Linked DNA regions of Oryctolagus cuniculus. The protein of the gene in region 2 interacts with the protein of the main gene of each other region in a pairwise test. Links are inferred from orthologs where the notes say so. Each region holds a gene or a part of one and is shown on either strand. Other genes may lie near its edges.

Region 1 (3,999 bases), about 29 Mb from region 2:
GATTAAGCCTGCGGATGTGATGGGTCACAGACTCCCCGTCCGAGGTGTCAGTCTGCTCCTCCCGCCGCTCCCGGCTCCCGCTGCGGCTGTTGGAACTGGAGCGCAGCCCATCTTGAAGTCCTGCGGGGAGGGGCCGGTGACGCCAGCGCTGGCCGGCTCTCAGGGGCCATAAGACCCCCCCCCCACGCCCCCGCCCCGGCCCCAGCCCCGGGAGGCCTGGCTCCCCTCCACCCACCCAACTTCCTCCGCGGCTCGGCCCTCCCAGCCACGCGCCCCAGGACCCCTCCGGATGTGCGCGGGGGCAGTCGCTGCTCCAGGGAGCTGCGGGAACGGCTTCCCCTCCCCCAGCTCCCCATCCTCGCCCACCCCTTCCAGCTATGGGGGAACCCCTCCACGGCCGCCCGCGCACCTCGGCGCGCGCTCGCCGCCCCCTCCCACGCCCCCTCCCCAGGTGCAGCGGGCACACCCCTCCCTCAGAGGTGCGGGAGCCCGAGCCCCGCCCCCTCCGCCCGCTCCCGCACTGACCTCGCTTCCGTTCGCGCTTGTCCTGCAGCTGCTTCTTCTTCTGCTTCACGCTGAAGGGCTTCTTCCTCGGCATGGCCCGGACCAGTCACCGGGCCCGCCCCTCCGCCGAGCTCCCGCCGCCTCAACTGACTCCCGGGGGCAGCCCCCGCCGCCAGGGCCCGGGACCCTCGAGGAGGCGGGGCTAGCGGGTGACGTCACGGACGGGCCGGGCCGGCCGGCGGCGACTGCCGGGACGGAAAGCAGACACGGGGTGGTCACGTCTCTCCCGGAGCGAGGCGAGGGGCTGAGGGGACGGGGCAGGCGGCCGGCACGTGAGAGTCAGCGGCACCGGCGGGGCGCAGCGGCGGTGGAGGAGGAGGCGCGCGTGGGAGGATCGGGCCCGCTCCGTCACGGACGCTACCAACGGGCGCCCGCAGGAGGGGGGGCGCGTGTCATCACTACCTTGCGCTCCCGGGAGACGCTACCACTCACCTGGCGGGGGCGGCGGAGCGGAGGGCGGGCCCAGCTACCTTCGGAGGGAGGGGGCGGGGACGCGCCGAGGCGACAGCACCGAGCGGGGATTGGCCTGGGTGGAAAGCGGAGACGGAGCACCCCGAGAGGGAAGCCCGCTTGCTGGCGACTCGTGGGGCACGGCCGGAGGTCTTAAGGGGCGGGTGGCGTTCTGCCGGTTCCCGGGCGCGGACCTGCTGGGACCCGAATTTCGATGCTAACGGGCGGGTCTGCAGATCCCAAGCGCGGGCGGGAAGGGAGACCCAGGTGGGACAAGGACTTTTGGAGGGAGGTCAGAGGGCACCGAGTTGTGCCTGCGGCTGTTCCCATGGTAACAGGGCACCGGAAGTGGCGACGTTAGGACGCGACAGCCCGCTCTCAGGCCGTCCGGCCCGGAAGCCCGTGGGCTCTGCAGCACACTGTGGTGTTTCTTGGCGGAGGAGAGGGCACTTGTAAGCACTTGGAGAGATGCAGCAAAGGTAAGGTTTGAGGTTGCCGCCGTGCCTAGCAGAGCGGGAGCGGGGCGGTTTTCGGGCGGGTGCGGCCGCGGCAGGGGCTCCCCGCTGCCTCCCGGAAGTGGAATGGCGGGAGCCTCAGCCCCGCTGCCCACCGGGCTCCCCCCGGAAGCGGAAACAGCTTCCAGCGTGCCCCTTCCTCACTGCCCTCCAAATCCCGCTGCAGCCATTGCCGCAGCCACGATGCCGAAACGAAAGAAGCAGAATCCGCAGCCGCCGCCACAGCAGCCCCCACGGCCCGAGCGGGAGGAGACTGGAGACGAGGAAGATGGTTGTCCCATGGGTAAGGGAGCGCACGTTCTCGGCAGCTGGGCCAGGCTGGGGCCAGGGACTAGGCAGGTGCGGGGGAGGGGGCGCTCACGGAAGGCGCGAGGGCGCACGCGCAGGGGAAGGGGCTGTCCTGCATGCAGCTTTAAGCCAGGAGTTTACTCACCTGAACTCCTGGCCTTTATCCGGCCCCCAAACCTTTCTGGAGGAGGCGGGGGAGGAAAAGCTAAAGTGCGGAGTGCGCAGCCGCAGGAGGAGAGGTGCGCGATGTTGCAGGCTGTGGCGGGTGGGAGCGCAGTCTGAGATCAAACTAGGAGGGTAGAATGCAGTGCGGCCGCCTTTTAAGCACTCCCCTGGGGGAGGGGGAGGGGAAAAGAGCTGTTTGATTGGCCAGCAGTTCAGGTGGGGGATTGAATTAGCCCTGGAATTACCTAGGATGTTGTGGTTGCACCAGTATGAGGGAAAGACAGTGGTCAGCGTCATTCCTGCATGACCGGGTTTCCTGAGTCTCTGCTTTCTAGCAGAACATGGAAACAGCTTGGCAGAGGAAAGGGCCCACAGATGGGGTGAGAATGTGCAACACTGATGATACATAGCTCACTTCGCTGATTGAGTTAAGGAGTGCATTCTAGAAGGACATCTGAGGACAGGATCATAGCCCATTCTGATGACGGTATTTTCATGTCTACTCTTAGGACCACCCAGCCTTCTGGGCCCTCCCCCCATGGCCAATGGAAAGCCTGGTGACCCCAAGTCAGGTGAGGAGGAGGGGACCCGGATCCTTGTATTAGATGCTGGAGAAGGGTGCAAGAGGAGAAGTGAAACCTAGCAAGAATTTCACATCTTACAATCCAGGATTCGATGCCTAAGTGAATGGAGAGAAGTTATGCATTCACAGACTGGAAAAGTCATAATATTGGCGTGAAAATGCAGGGAATCAGGGTGAGAGACTGTAAAGACAGTGTAAGTGAGAGGGCTACTCTGAACATCAAGATTTTTTGTAAAGCTACAGTGGTTACAGCTGTGACTTTGATGCAACAGAACAGATTAAAAAGGCAAGTAACAGGCCCACACATAATGAAAGTGCCTCAAAAAATTGATGGAAAACAGTTAAAACATAAGTTTATCTTGGTGCCTAAAATTTTCAAAGTGCATGCATGGTTTTTTCCTAATATGTGTTTTCTGTGAATTTTTTGACGTCTTCGTGTGTGAGCTCTTCATTTATAAAGATAGAACTGAAAAAGTGGTCTTTTCGATAAATGATGCTAGATCAGTTGGATAGTCGTGTAGGAAACGAATGGAATTTAACCTCCTCACAGTCTTAAAAATAACAGTACTAGTTGGACTGCAGATCTAAGTATAAAAGGTAAAAGAAAAATTATTGTAGAAAGTAAGTGTATATTCTTGGTCTTAGAGTAGCTAACAGTTCTTAGATGAGAAATACACATACACAAATTATAAAGAAAAGATTACTATATTCAACTACATTAGGTAACATAAACTTCTTTTAATCAGATGACATTGATTAACAGGAAGCCATAGAGTAGAAGACGGTATGTTCAACAAATATAACCAATAAAGAGCTCTTATCTGGAATATAAGAAGAACTCTTCCAGACAGTTCATTAGAAAAATTGGCAGAAGACCAGAACAGATTCTGGAGATCTTAATGGACCCAAACTGTGTGAACTAGTAGTCAACATCATTAGTCATCAAATACAGAATGAAAATATACCACGTTGGAGTTGGAACTCGTATGCATTATTGATGGGATTGTAAAATGGTACAAGCACTATGGAAAACAATATGGAATTTCTTCAAAAACTTAGAACTGCCATATGATCCAGTCCCACTTGTGGATATATATCCAAAATTATTGAAAGCAGGGTCTTGAGGAGATGTTTGCCCACCCATGTTCGTAGAGTATTCCCAGTAGGCAAGACCTGGAAGCATCCCAAATGTCCATTGATAGAAGAATGGATAAGCGAAGATAAAAGTACAATGGAATACCTTAAAAAAGGAAGAAAATGCTGTCACATAACTACAACCCAGATGAACTTGGAGGACTTTCTAAGTGAAACAAGCCCGTCACAGACAAATGCTGTATGATTCCACTTACATGAGGTATCTCAAGTCAAACTCATAGAAACAATAGAATGGTGGCTACCAGGGGCTGGGGGGCAGAGGGATGGAGGAAAGGGAAT
Region 2 (3,500 bases):
ATTTGGATCAAGACTAGGAGACAGCCCGAGGGACAGTTTCTGCTCGTGACTAGAGCTAGACATTATTTCAATAGCAGCCCTACTGTGGCCATATTTTGTTATGTGTTCAGTCTCACTGATCATACATATCAAAAACTCTATAGATAGGAATGGAACAGGAACACATAATAGGAACAAACAGAATCAAAGTAAGAGATGAGACTCCTTATAGCTTTCTGGTACCTTGGTCCAGACTTTTCTTAATGTTTCATAGCACTTCTCTTACTATATTTATGAACTTAGATTCATGTTACACTCCTGCCTCTGCCAGTTATTTTTCTTTCCTAAAATAAGCTCAAATGCTTCTATTTGTACTCAATAATGCCCATCTGATTCACAAAATCTAGGTAAATGTCTATGACATTATACATACCACGTCTTACTGAACACCAATATTATTATAGGTACTTAGAAATGTTTCAGTGCTTAAAAATATTTATATCTGATCTTCAGGACAGTCTAGTGGGGCTGAACTGACCACCCCCATTACATAGAAGATAAATCCCAGCCTCAAACTATCTATAAAGTCATACAACTGGTGACACAGCTGGAATTTAAATCTTAGGATAGGCTGTCTGTTTTGAAACACTATTCCTGTCCATTCAGAAATGCTGCAGACTGTGCTGAATACCCTTCAGCAGAATCTCCAACTGAATTTTAACTTCTTGCTTTGAACTCCTCATTTCAATAAATGGTGACTCAATTTAACCCAGTTTTTAGATCAGAAATAGAAAGATCATCCTTTACCCTTGTCTCTTTCATACAACACATACCTGTCCATTCACCAAATCCAACACATCATTTTCACAGTGCACTCAGAATCTGACCTCTTTTTCCCCCCCTCCAAGCCCTCATTTTTATCAGTGGCAGAATTTTGCCATGAGTTACTAGTTTCTCTGTTTCTACTGCTGTGTTCATCCCCACCCCTATATTCCATTCTCCATGATGCAGGCAGAATAAACCTTTTAAAATAGAAGACTTGCTCTTGATTTTTTCCCCCACTGGTTAAGTTGGAATGAACGTGAAAAGTTACAATTCTGTTTTGTTGATCTTGTCCTCTTTCATAGGGCCATATTTCTCATGTAAACTTTTTGATTAATAACAATGTTCACTACAGAAACCTAAAAAATCTCTTTTGACAAAAAAAAAAAAAAAGTAGATCTGATAGTTCAAGCCTCTGTTTGAAGGACAAAAACACCATAGTAGCAATGGACATAAAGATTGTGGTGCTAAAAGGTTACTCAGAGATAAAAAATGATCCCATTATCCCTGTTTTGGAAATGTAGATGTCTCAGACAAGAGTTGGCAGAACCAGAGCTAGTCCCTCTGTTTTCTGACTCCTGGACTTGCTCACAATATTGTTATGTTTTCTGATTCTAAGATCTTAAATATCTAAGGTTTTAAATATCAATGCCTGATGCATAAAAGATACTTTAGATGAACCTCAACTATTGCAATAAAAGTAATTTTTGTGGTTAATTTTTCTTCACTTGCAGTTATTAGGCAATATTTCATAACTTCCCCCAAAATTAACACACATAAAATATTACTATATACTTCATGACACCTATGAACTGTTTTATTTTAGGATTGAAGTCTGATTATTAGACCATTCTTAAGGCATTTATATGATTTGAGTGCTCAGCTTGTGATGGTAACCCTCCTAGAAGAGTTATATTTAATGAGCATAATTCACAGAAGACATTTAGAGGAAAGAATGTTTGTAATGGTTGAATGAAACAAACAGCTAGATTGGCGATAGGCATGCTGGAGTGGTTAAAGGAAAAATGAGTTTGTTTCTTAGGATGATCTTAGATGAATCTTGGATTCAATTTTACATTTACAGTGGACTTCCTATGGCTACACAAATGAATAAGAAACTCATCTATTTAGAAGTTTCGAAATCTAGAAAGAGAAATGGTTACAAGACTGCTCTACAGTGTCACAGGTGCAATACAGATGACCTGTACTGAAAGCCAAAGAGTGGATGTACAAAATGATCAAGAGATACAGTGGACGGAGGGAGAAGGGTGCTTAGAGATATTGCGATGTTTCTGTTCATTCTAGGCTTTTTGGCATTCTTTTTGCCCATCTTCTTTCTTTCACATGATGAAAGAAAGATATGTAAGCCCAGTCACATACATGCCCTGGCATTATCTCCAAAGTTTATAATATGATCACATTACATTTATCAACTATTTCTGAGTTTTATGCTAGCCTTTTTTATGTCTCAGGATTATTCTCTGAAAACATGACAGTTCATATCATATTTATAATTATTTTCTGATTAAACATCCTCAAGAATACCTCAAGATAACTTGAATCTTAAAATGCAAGCTATTTAATTGTCATTAACAACAATGATGGTACCTGTAACATGAAAACATTTTTCAAAATGCTCTCATTTAAATGTGCTTCTTACCCTCTGTTGCAAATGACATTGGTTTTCCACAATAAATATTACCTGCTATATTCATAATATGTGACTATTTTTGAGACTTATCTTATTCACTAATCAATTTGATTCTTCCTCATAACCAATTTTATCAGGTACTTACATATTCTTCATAAGCCTCATGGGATGGAGGAGGGGGTGCCCTGTATCCTGGCACTGTTGGGGTCCCCCGGGCTCGAGGGGTAGGGACACCTCTCGCTACTGGGGGCACTGGAAGAGCTCCACGAGTTACAGTGGTCCCGCGAGGGGTGAGAACACCTCGACCAGGTGGTGGGGGAGGAGGAATGGCACCCCCACGGCCCCTAGAAGAAACAGGGTTAGAACAGATGAGAAACAAGTGATGAGACAAGAGGCTGTAACAGCTAAAGCTCCTACCTCACAGTTCCCATACAATGGGAGAAATTCAAATTTATCTCCCTCTACATGTGGGTAGTAGAGATCATTTAGTTGTAAACTGCTCTGACCTCCATATAAGCACACATTTTATAAAAACTGTGACTTAATTCTCCTGAAAATTTTGTAAAATACTTTGATACTATCTACAATATAACTAAAAAACCAAAGTAAAATAGAAATCCCACTCTGATTATATTTCATATTTTCTGAGAGGATTCAAACCGCAGAGCATGAACTCACTGGACCATCTATGAAATAGAGCAATTGTATGTCTGTGTTTCCCCCATACTGGGGGTCACTGACTGTGATGTGCAATGTTGTCATTTACAAAAAACAAAGTCTGTTTGCACGTTAATAAAATGTGGAGCTCTAATCATATGAAAGCATTCAGAGTATTACATTAGTTTAAGTTTGAGGTCATTTGAAATCACAACTCATTGTCACTAATTTTTCACCACACCTGTAAATCCTGAGCTGGTGCAGTCCCCAACATAATGTATTTTCTTATGGTAACCATAGTGCTAGTGGAATACATCAGTACTCTGCAATAAAAAGAATAGACTGAACACTCTGTACTGCAGTTCTTGACACAAAAGTAACCTGCACTAAA
Region 3 (3,989 bases), on a different chromosome or scaffold from region 2:
CCAGGGCTGGGCCAGGCCAAAGCCAGGAGCCAGAAAGCCCATTAGCAGGAGGCTGGATTAGAAGCATACAGTAGGGGCTGGCACTGTGGCGCAGTAGGCTAAGCCTCTGTCTGTGGCTCTGGCATCCCATATGGGTGCCGGTTCGTGTCCTGGCTGCTCCTCTTGTGACCCAGCTCCCTGAAAATGTACCTGAGAAAGCAGTGGGAGATGGCCCAAGTCCTTGGGCCCCTGCACCAGCATGGGAGACCTGGAAGAAGCTCCTGGCTCCTGGCTTCGGATCGGCACAGCTCCGTTGGAGTGAACCAGTGGATAGAAGACCTCTCTCTCTGCCTCTCTGTAACTCTGCCCTTCAAATAAATAAAATCTTTTTTAAAAAATATTTTATTTATTTATTTGAGAGAAGGAGAGAGACAGAAAAAAATCTTCCATAGACAGAGAGAGGGAGAGAGAGGGAAAGGTCTTCCATCGCTGGTTCACTCCTCAAACTGCCACAACAGCTGGAGCTGGGCTGATCTGAAGCCAGGAGCTTCTTCAGGGTCTCCCATGCAGGTGCAGGGGCCCAAGGACTGGAGCCATCTCCTACTGCTTTCCCAGGCCATAGCAGAGAGCTGGATCAGAAGAGGAGCACCCGGGACATGAAACAGTGCCCATACAGGACATCGGCACTGCAGACAGGCTTAGCCTACTACACCACAGCACCTGACCCAGGCGTCACGTTTTGTAGAAAGCATCTCAGGCAGTTCCTGTAGAGGGTGGCTTCATGGGCAAGCAGAGAGAATGAGGGCTGACGTCAGAGATACAAAGGAATGACGCCGGGATAAAGGGTGCCAGGGCAAGCGGCTAAATGTGGGTCACACAGGAGAAAACCTACGAGTTAAAAGCAGAAACTGAGAAAAGGTAGGGTCTAAGGCAAGAGCGATGGGAACGTCAGGCCCTTAAGGGATATGAGGGGAGGGGACTAGAAGATGACGGAGGCTGAGAGCAGAGCACGGCAAATACGTTGGCAGGGATGTTAGGAGGCTACCGGAGCCAAGTGGAAAAAATGACATCAAGGACAGTGAGGGTGATAGGAACAGAAAGGGATGTGAGAGCTAAATGGTTTCCGCGCGCAAGGGAACAAAGTGTCTCAGACGCAGGCAGGAGGCTGCCGTTAGGGGGCACCAATTGCAAAAACGTGGGCTCCATTCCCGGGCGCGCACGGAGAGGCTTGTTCCCTTCGCTCTGCCATCCCTTCCTCTCCACCCTTCCTCTGGCCTCAGCCAGTGAACAGGCACGCCAGAGCACGTTGACTGACGGAGTGGGGGAGGACGTCCCGTGACGTGCCCTCTACGTGTGCTTTATCAGGCGTCTTCGCGCACGGCTGCTTCCCTGTTCTCTCTGCTCCCGCGAGGTGGCCATTTGCCTGCCGCTTTTACTTTTTAATTTTTAGGTAAGCAAAGTAAATCTCGCAGAACGACTCCCTTGGTATGCTGCGGCGGCCAGGAGGAAGGGGCGCGGGTGGGGAAGGGAGCAGCCGCTGACACGTATGCTTAGGCGTTGGTCGGGGTGGGCGGCGGGTTTCGTGCGTACACATGAAACATGTCGGTTGTTGGGAGCTTGGCGCGCTTTATCTAAGTGCAGAGAAAGGCTGCCAGCGTCCGGGGCAGTAGTGACCACACGACGGCCGGGACACTGGGACACCCCCCCCCCGCTCCCCACGTGACCGCCGCCATCTTGTGCGCGCGCGGAGGAAACGCGCGAGTGTTCTGAGTCTGCGCAGCAGTACAAAATGACGGGCGTGGCACCTGGGAGGTTGTGGGCATGCGCAATGGCGGCCTTCAAATGGCGACTCCTCTAAACCGGTAGATTTTCCTTCCCTTTCAGATTGCACCCATTCATTATTTTGTTCCCTTTTGTGTATTTTCTGTGTATCTCTTTAATCCTTAGTTTGCCTGACCTTTTTTTTTTGAATACCCTGGTCCATTCCGTTCCCCGCAGGACTCGAACTCATTGCCATGTCCTCTGAAGAAGGGAAGCTGTTCATTGGAGGGCTTAACTTCAACACCGATGAGCAAGCGCTGGAAGACCACTTCAGCAGCTTCGGGCCTATTTCTGAGGGTGAGACTTGGAGTCGGACCCGCGATGATGGAGCAGGTCATGTCAGGGAACGTTCAGGGAGGACCCAGACGGTCGATTTATCCTTTTCCCGCGTTCCTAGGCCTGAAGTGTACATTTCGGAGGACTCCGTGAGATTGTGTTGGTCCCTGCTTTGCAGGCCACCCTCGTCACCGCCTTTCCCATCTCTCTCCTCCCGCAGTGGTCGTTGTCAAGGACCGGGAGACTCAGCGATCCCGGGGTTTTGGCTTCATCACCTTCACAAACCCAGAGCACGCCTCTGACGCCATGAGAGCCATGAATGGAGAGGTGAGGCCTTCTGCCTGCAGAGGGGCCCTGTCCCCATCTGCCGTTCCTCCGTTCCTTCTGTTTTTCCCTCTGTGTCTGCTAGGGGCAGCGTGGCCACCAAGCCCCGCAGTGCCCACTCACAGGAGCGTGACTGCCTTCTGTTCTAGGGGGTGGAGGGCAGCGGCACACAGAGCCGGGCTGCCTGGGAGGCGACGACTGGTCCTGCATGAGGCCGAGAAGCCACCTGTGGATGGTTGACCTGCCCTGGGCTTAGGTAGTAGAGTCTGCAGACCTGTGGGCCTGGCCCGGAGAGGACCTCGTGAGTCTTCTGGGATGGACTCGGAAGCCTCAAACCAAGAGAGGTGTCTGTCTAGCCCTAATAGTCGGGCAGCTTAGAGGAGTGGGGAGGAGAACTCAGCCTGAGTTCAGTCAAGATGTAAGTAGTGGCAGGGGGAACACGGTGGATACAGGTCATTTTGTGGGATGCTGTAGCTCCTGATGAAGCCATTCTGGTCAAAGGAGCTTGTTCTGGAACATGGCACCCAGAACCTGGTGCCCAGCAGGAATTTCTGGGCTCTTAGGCCCACCTGCCCATGCCCGCTCTGAGCTCGCCACTGCCCTGACTGACTGCCAATCCGCCCTCCTTGTGTCTCCCTGCCACGCCTAGTCCCTGGATGGTCGGCAGATCCGCGTGGACCACGCAGGCAAGTCTGCCCGGGGAACCAGAGGGGGTGCCTTTGGGGCCCATGGGCGTGGTCGCAGCTACTCCAGAGGTGAGTGTGTAGTCAGTTTGATCCTGGCGTGTGGGGCATCCGCCTATTAGTACCGTGTGTCTGGACAACTGCTGCTTAAATATTTCTCACCTGCTGTAGGTGGTGGGGACCAGGGCTATGGGAGCAGCAGGTATGACTCTCGACCTGGAGGATATGGATACGGATATGGACGGTCCCGGGACTACGGTGGCAGGTTGGTAGTCGGGGTGGGGTGGGGTGGGGTGCTCCGCTCCTCTGTCCCTAAGCGCTCAGCTGCCTGGGGATCCGCACGCCTGTCACACCTAGGTGTTACTAGTGTGCACTAAGGACGGGTATGAACTACAACATTTTGTGTTACGTAATGCATTGTGTGGTCATTTGATCGCACCAGGACTGAGTGGTAATACTTTTGTGTTGATTGTGCTGTGTTTGATTGGTGACTCTAGTGCACCAAACGTGATAGAATTTAATACGGTACGTGTAACTTGTATGCATGAAGCTGTGTTCCCTAGACATAGTCTTGAAGTTGCTGTGTCCTGTTTTATGCATTCAGTTAACATGACATACATAGCTGTGTATAATGTTCGTGTAAAGCTCACGTGCTTTTCCCCAGAAGCCAGGGTGGTTACGAACGCTACTCAGGAGGAAACTACAGGGACAATTATGACAACTGAGATGCAGTGTGTGCCCATACCGTAGGTGAGGCCTGGACTTGGGCAGTGAGCAGACCTCCGTCTGTCGAACCCTGCTGTGCTTCTCTCTGCCTTCCTTCCAGACTGTTAGCATTTCTTCCCTCGCATCCCTTACCCACCCAGCATTTCTGGGCCTTTTTTGCTTGCAGTGCATGTCAGGGTT
Region 4 (4,170 bases), on a different chromosome or scaffold from region 2:
CCTCTGGCCCTGGACTCGGTGCTGGACACCTCTCCCGCTCTCTCCCCCCTCCACAGGCCCAGAAGGATGCAGATGCCGTGGACAAGGTGATGAAGGAACTGGACGAGGACGGAGACGGGGAGGTGGACTTCCAGGAGTACGTGGTGCTGGTGGCTGCTCTCACAGTGGCCTGTAACAACTTCTTCTGGGAGAACAGTTGAGCAGACAGCCCCAGAGGGCAGCGCCCTACCGCTCCGTCCCCCCAGACCTGCCCCTACACCCGGCTACCACCTCACACTCCCCCACACACCCAGGGCGCCAAGCAGCAGGCCCGCCCTGCAGCTCATCTCTCATTAAAGGCTCCTCTATTGCCAGCCGTCTGGTGTCTGTCTCCTGTGGGTCCGGAAGGGCAGCCCTGAGGGGTTTCGCTCCACTTATTTTGGAGGGAGGTCACGTGCATTCCATCTGCCTTAATGCTCAGTGGGGTTCCAGGTTCCAGCTGGAAGGGGAGACGTCTGCTTCCCAGCTGTAAAAACAGAAAAATCTCCTTTCAATCCTCAGCAGATATTTACAGGGGTCCTACCTTGTGCAGGAACTGGGGATACAGCAGTGAGCAAAATAAACACCATGGTCACCCTCACTGGGTGAAGTCCAGCAAGGAGAGAGGCCCACTAAAAATGCACACATACAACTCAGTGCCCAGAGCGAGGGTAGAGGAAGCCCCCACTGTGTGCTTTCTCTCTTTCCTCCAACGTTTGAGGACGTGATTGTGTGGCCATAAGGAAAATCCTTTCATAGGTCTGCACTAAATTCCCAGGGAGGGGAGGGGAAGGGGGATCCGGGACCTGATCAGAGGAGAGTTGAAAAACAGCCAAGTCAGGGAAGAGGAAAACATGGACGGGCAATGGAGGCTGCGGCGGATGGCAGGAGGTGTGCCCCCAGCACTGGCTTGCCCTGGCCTTTGCAGCACTTCACGACCCAAACAGCGAAGGGGCGCGGGGGAAAGCCACCAGTGCCAATCACCCGGCTCTGGCATTGCCAGAGACCAAAGCAGGTTCCGCTTTAAGATTTGTAAACATGATGCCTTAGCCAAGGGCGTGGGGAGAAAGGCCCGAAGGAACACGAACTCTTTCCTAACGGGACTAAAACCTCTCTTGGGAGCAGGGCCGCTGACAACTCCAGGAGGTAGCAGTTAATACCCGCTAGAATAGCGAAGCCACTAGCCACGCCCCGGGGGCGGAGCCATCTGTGTAACTCTAAAGCCCCTCCTTCCCACCCAGGGCTCCGCCCCCTAGCTCTGCGCAGGGCGTGACAAATCCCCGCCCCCTACTAGTGCGCGGATCCAACGTCTGACGCAATTGCGTCGGCGCCATTTTAGCCGGTCCCATGCCGCACTGGGCGTGGCGGCCATTTTGTTTTGGAGAGCGAGCGGGAGTTGGCGGCGGCAGCTGTGGTGGCACAGACTGAAGGCAGGGAAGGGCAGGCCGGGCGATCAGGCGGGTCGGCCAACGACACAGCCAGCCAACAGCCACGGACTAGCCTCGCAGTCTACCACTTAAGCATCTGACCCAACCGCCCATCTAATTAACCGGAGCCCCTCCACCGTCAATTACTGAGGTTCGGCCGGTCCCCGGCCCGCCCTGCCGCAGCCGTGCTGGCAGCCCCGGGAGGAGCACTGGCGTCCGTTTCCTTCGGTGCGTCTCTGTGGTGAGAGAAGGGGAGCGGAAGGAGCCGGCGGACGCGCATGGGGGGCGGTGGGCTGCGGGGACCGCGGGGGAGGGGGCGGGGCCGCGGAGGGGGGAGGGGCTGCGCCGGCCGCGACCCCGCGGCGGGGTTCACGGAGGCTGTCGTTGGGTACCGAGGAAAAGAAAGATCGTTGGACGAGTTGAGCAAAGTTGGCGGTCTTGACAGGGCTTTGAAGACTAGTGTTGGAAACAGTGGCGTGCTTAGGGTTAAGTTCTGTAGAGGGCTCCCTGGGAGCCAGCTCCCAGATGAATGCCCGTTTAGGGAACCTTTCCTGTTCCTTTCTCCAGATCCTTAGTCCGTTGTTAAGTTCTGACTTGGGAATAGGAAACCGATTTTGAGACTAGGCATGCCTGTATTTTCTTTCTAAACCGGCAGCTGTCAACCTCAGCTACTCATTAGAAGCACCTGGGTAGCTACCCCTCCCCCCACGCCCCTATTGATGAGCCCCAGACCTCCACCATCAGAGATTGCGGTTTGATCGGTCTGAGCCCAGGCATCTGTTTCTTGAAAGCCCCCTGTGGAAAAACAGGCTGAAAAGGACGAGTCTGGATCGAAAGCCAGACTCTCTTGCACCTTCTTGAGCTGTTTCTGCCATTTTGGACCATTTGGCAGATATTACATGCCTTTTGGCCTTGAAATTGAATAATTTCTCATGTAAACTTGAAGTGAGCTTCGATTTGAGGGTGCTTTTTAAAATTTTATAGAAAATTGAATTGAAAGACATTTTGGTGCAAAATAATTTTTGCATTCTATGCAGTCTTTTGTAGTATACGTTTCTATAAACTTTTTTTTTAAGCATTTGTGTATATGAAAGAGAGATCTTCCATCTGCTGGTTTACTCTCCAGATGGCCACAAAGGCCAGGTCTGGGCCAGGCTGAAGCCATTAACCAGGATCTCCATCCGGTTTTCCAACGGGTGGCAGGGATCAGATACTTCAGCCATCACCTGCCGCCTCCCAGGCCTGCAGGGAGCTATTCTGGAGGTGGAGTAGCTGAACCACAATGCCTGCCCCTCCAGAAACTTTTTCAGGATAGATCCCTTACATGCATAGATTCTAAAAAATTTCTTACCAAAGCAAAGTTACCTTTTAATTCCGTTTCCCATGAACTTTGAAGTACCCTCCCGTGTTCCTCAGGAGTCAGTGGTAAGGCTTTTTCGGTGGTTTGGGCCTTGTTCTGTATAAGGTGGCTGTTATTCTGACCTGCTCATTCTGCTGTTGTCCTTTGTAGATTCTCGGGATCTGAAGATGGCTGCTCAGTCAGCGCCGAAAGTTGTGCTAAAAAGCACCACCAAGATGTCTCTGAATGAGCGGTGAGGCAGCCAACAACAACTTCAGCTCCTTCCTAAGAAAACATTACTTAAATTGGCCCTGGGGTCCAATGCACAAAACAGTTGTAAGCTAAATATCAACAGAAGGCTACAGACCTCTGTTCTTAGTTACATCTAATGTGGTGCACAAAACAAATTGGGCGGTTGTTTCAAAACCCCTTATCAGTAGATTTTTATGTTAAGCTGTCTGAAATATTTATCCAGTGGGATGTATTTTAAAAAGACTCCTCACACCCTCCCTTTTCTTCAAGTTTTTTTGTTTTTGTTTTTGTTTTTGAACACGTTGATACAGGGGTTGTGCAGCATGGGAGCATGGGACCCTGGCTGCAGTAGGCTTGCTGCCTAGTCCAAGGCCAGCAGTGTTGCATCTGGCCTGTAAGAGGCAGGTAGCAAGCTGTGACTATGTCCAAAGGCCCTCGAATGTCATTCTTGGGCCTTGTAAGAGGCACTTGCTTTGCTCCATTTCACTTTTCTTTCCATTCTGCTTTTAGTTTGTTTTTGCTTTGGATTCTTTTACAGTTAAGTGTTCTTCTCTTCCATTCCATTAAACTTAACCATGACAAGAACAAAAAAGGAGTGTCTTCATGGGCCCTTAAATGATTGAATTAATCATTTCCAAAGATAACTGCTTGGAGACAGAAAAAGTGATCATTTGACACTAAGAAAAGTTAAGGTATTTAAGGCAGTTTCTATCTCTGAGAACTTTGCTCACTGAGTTACCTTTGAGCAGTGATTTTATTAAACCAGTGTTGGACCACTAAAAGGTTACAATGTCTCCTTTTGCCTTTTCTGGAGCCTATGTACTTCTCTCTTCAGATACACTAGTCCTCCATATCCACATGTTACTGAGTGACAAATATATTTAAAAATTGATGGCATTCCTATAACTTCTATGGCTATGGTGTTGTCATGGGTTTTGAAGGTGTTCTGGTCTCATATTTCTTTTCAAAAACCTCCAAGGTTTAAGCTTTCTTTGTTTGTCTTTGAAATTACATCTTCTGTCTCTTGTCATATCTGCTTATTGCGTGTTTTTCATACCTTCCACTTCTCTGAGAGCCATTACCTGAGCCCTTGTTATCACTTTGGATTGAATGTGCTGCACTTAGCTGCATTTC

The links.
Region 1: the proteins of KHDRBS2 (region 2) and PRR3 interact in binary tests that used the Homo sapiens proteins (3 or more experiments, as listed by UniProt). The two-hybrid records come from large-scale screens. The link is inferred for Oryctolagus cuniculus from reciprocal best matches to the Homo sapiens genes KHDRBS2 and PRR3.
Region 3: the proteins of KHDRBS2 (region 2) and RBM3 interact in binary tests that used the Homo sapiens proteins (3 or more experiments, as listed by UniProt). The link is inferred for Oryctolagus cuniculus from reciprocal best matches to the Homo sapiens genes KHDRBS2 and RBM3.
Region 4: the proteins of KHDRBS2 (region 2) and CHTOP interact in binary tests that used the Homo sapiens proteins (3 or more experiments, as listed by UniProt). The two-hybrid records come from large-scale screens. The link is inferred for Oryctolagus cuniculus from reciprocal best matches to the Homo sapiens genes KHDRBS2 and CHTOP.

The regions. Positions count from the first base shown.
Region 1 is NC_091436.1:139,856,957-139,860,955, reverse strand, and holds the start of PRR3 (proline-rich protein 3), read left to right. Parts: upstream 1-1,199; 5' UTR 1,200-1,493; intron 1,494-1,695; 5' UTR 1,696-1,712; coding exon 1,713-1,812; intron 1,813-2,491; coding exon 2,492-2,554; intron 2,555-3,999. Other genes in the region: GNL1 (guanine nucleotide-binding protein-like 1), read right to left, coding at 1-120, 526-598.
Region 2 is NC_091436.1:110,816,507-110,820,006, reverse strand, and holds part of KHDRBS2 (KH domain-containing, RNA-binding, signal transduction-associated protein 2), read right to left. Parts: intron 2,797-3,500; coding exon 2,598-2,796; intron 1-2,597. UniProt on the Homo sapiens protein: RNA-binding protein that plays a role in the regulation of alternative splicing and influences mRNA splice site selection and exon inclusion. Binds both poly(A) and poly(U) homopolymers. Phosphorylation by PTK6 inhibits its RNA-binding ability.
Region 3 is NC_091453.1:33,791,343-33,795,331, forward strand, and holds the start of RBM3 (RNA-binding protein 3), read left to right. Parts: upstream 1-1,189; 5' UTR 1,190-1,429; intron 1,430-1,605; exon of another isoform or gene 1,606-1,841; intron 1,842-1,977; 5' UTR 1,978-1,994; coding exon 1,995-2,097; intron 2,098-2,296; coding exon 2,297-2,403; intron 2,404-3,049; coding exon 3,050-3,155; intron 3,156-3,254; coding exon 3,255-3,348; intron 3,349-3,728; coding exon 3,729-3,801; coding exon of another isoform or gene 3,802-3,808; 3' UTR 3,809-3,833; intron 3,834-3,989. UniProt on the Homo sapiens protein: Cold-inducible mRNA binding protein that enhances global protein synthesis at both physiological and mild hypothermic temperatures. Reduces the relative abundance of microRNAs, when overexpressed.
Region 4 is NC_091438.1:44,672,275-44,676,444, reverse strand, and holds the start of CHTOP (chromatin target of PRMT1 protein), read left to right. Parts: upstream 1-1,370; 5' UTR 1,371-1,673; exon of another isoform or gene 1,674-1,686; intron 1,687-2,955; 5' UTR 2,956-2,972; coding exon 2,973-3,037; intron 3,038-4,170. Other genes in the region: S100A1 (protein S100-A1), read left to right, coding at 57-200. UniProt on the Homo sapiens protein: Plays an important role in the ligand-dependent activation of estrogen receptor target genes. May play a role in the silencing of fetal globin genes.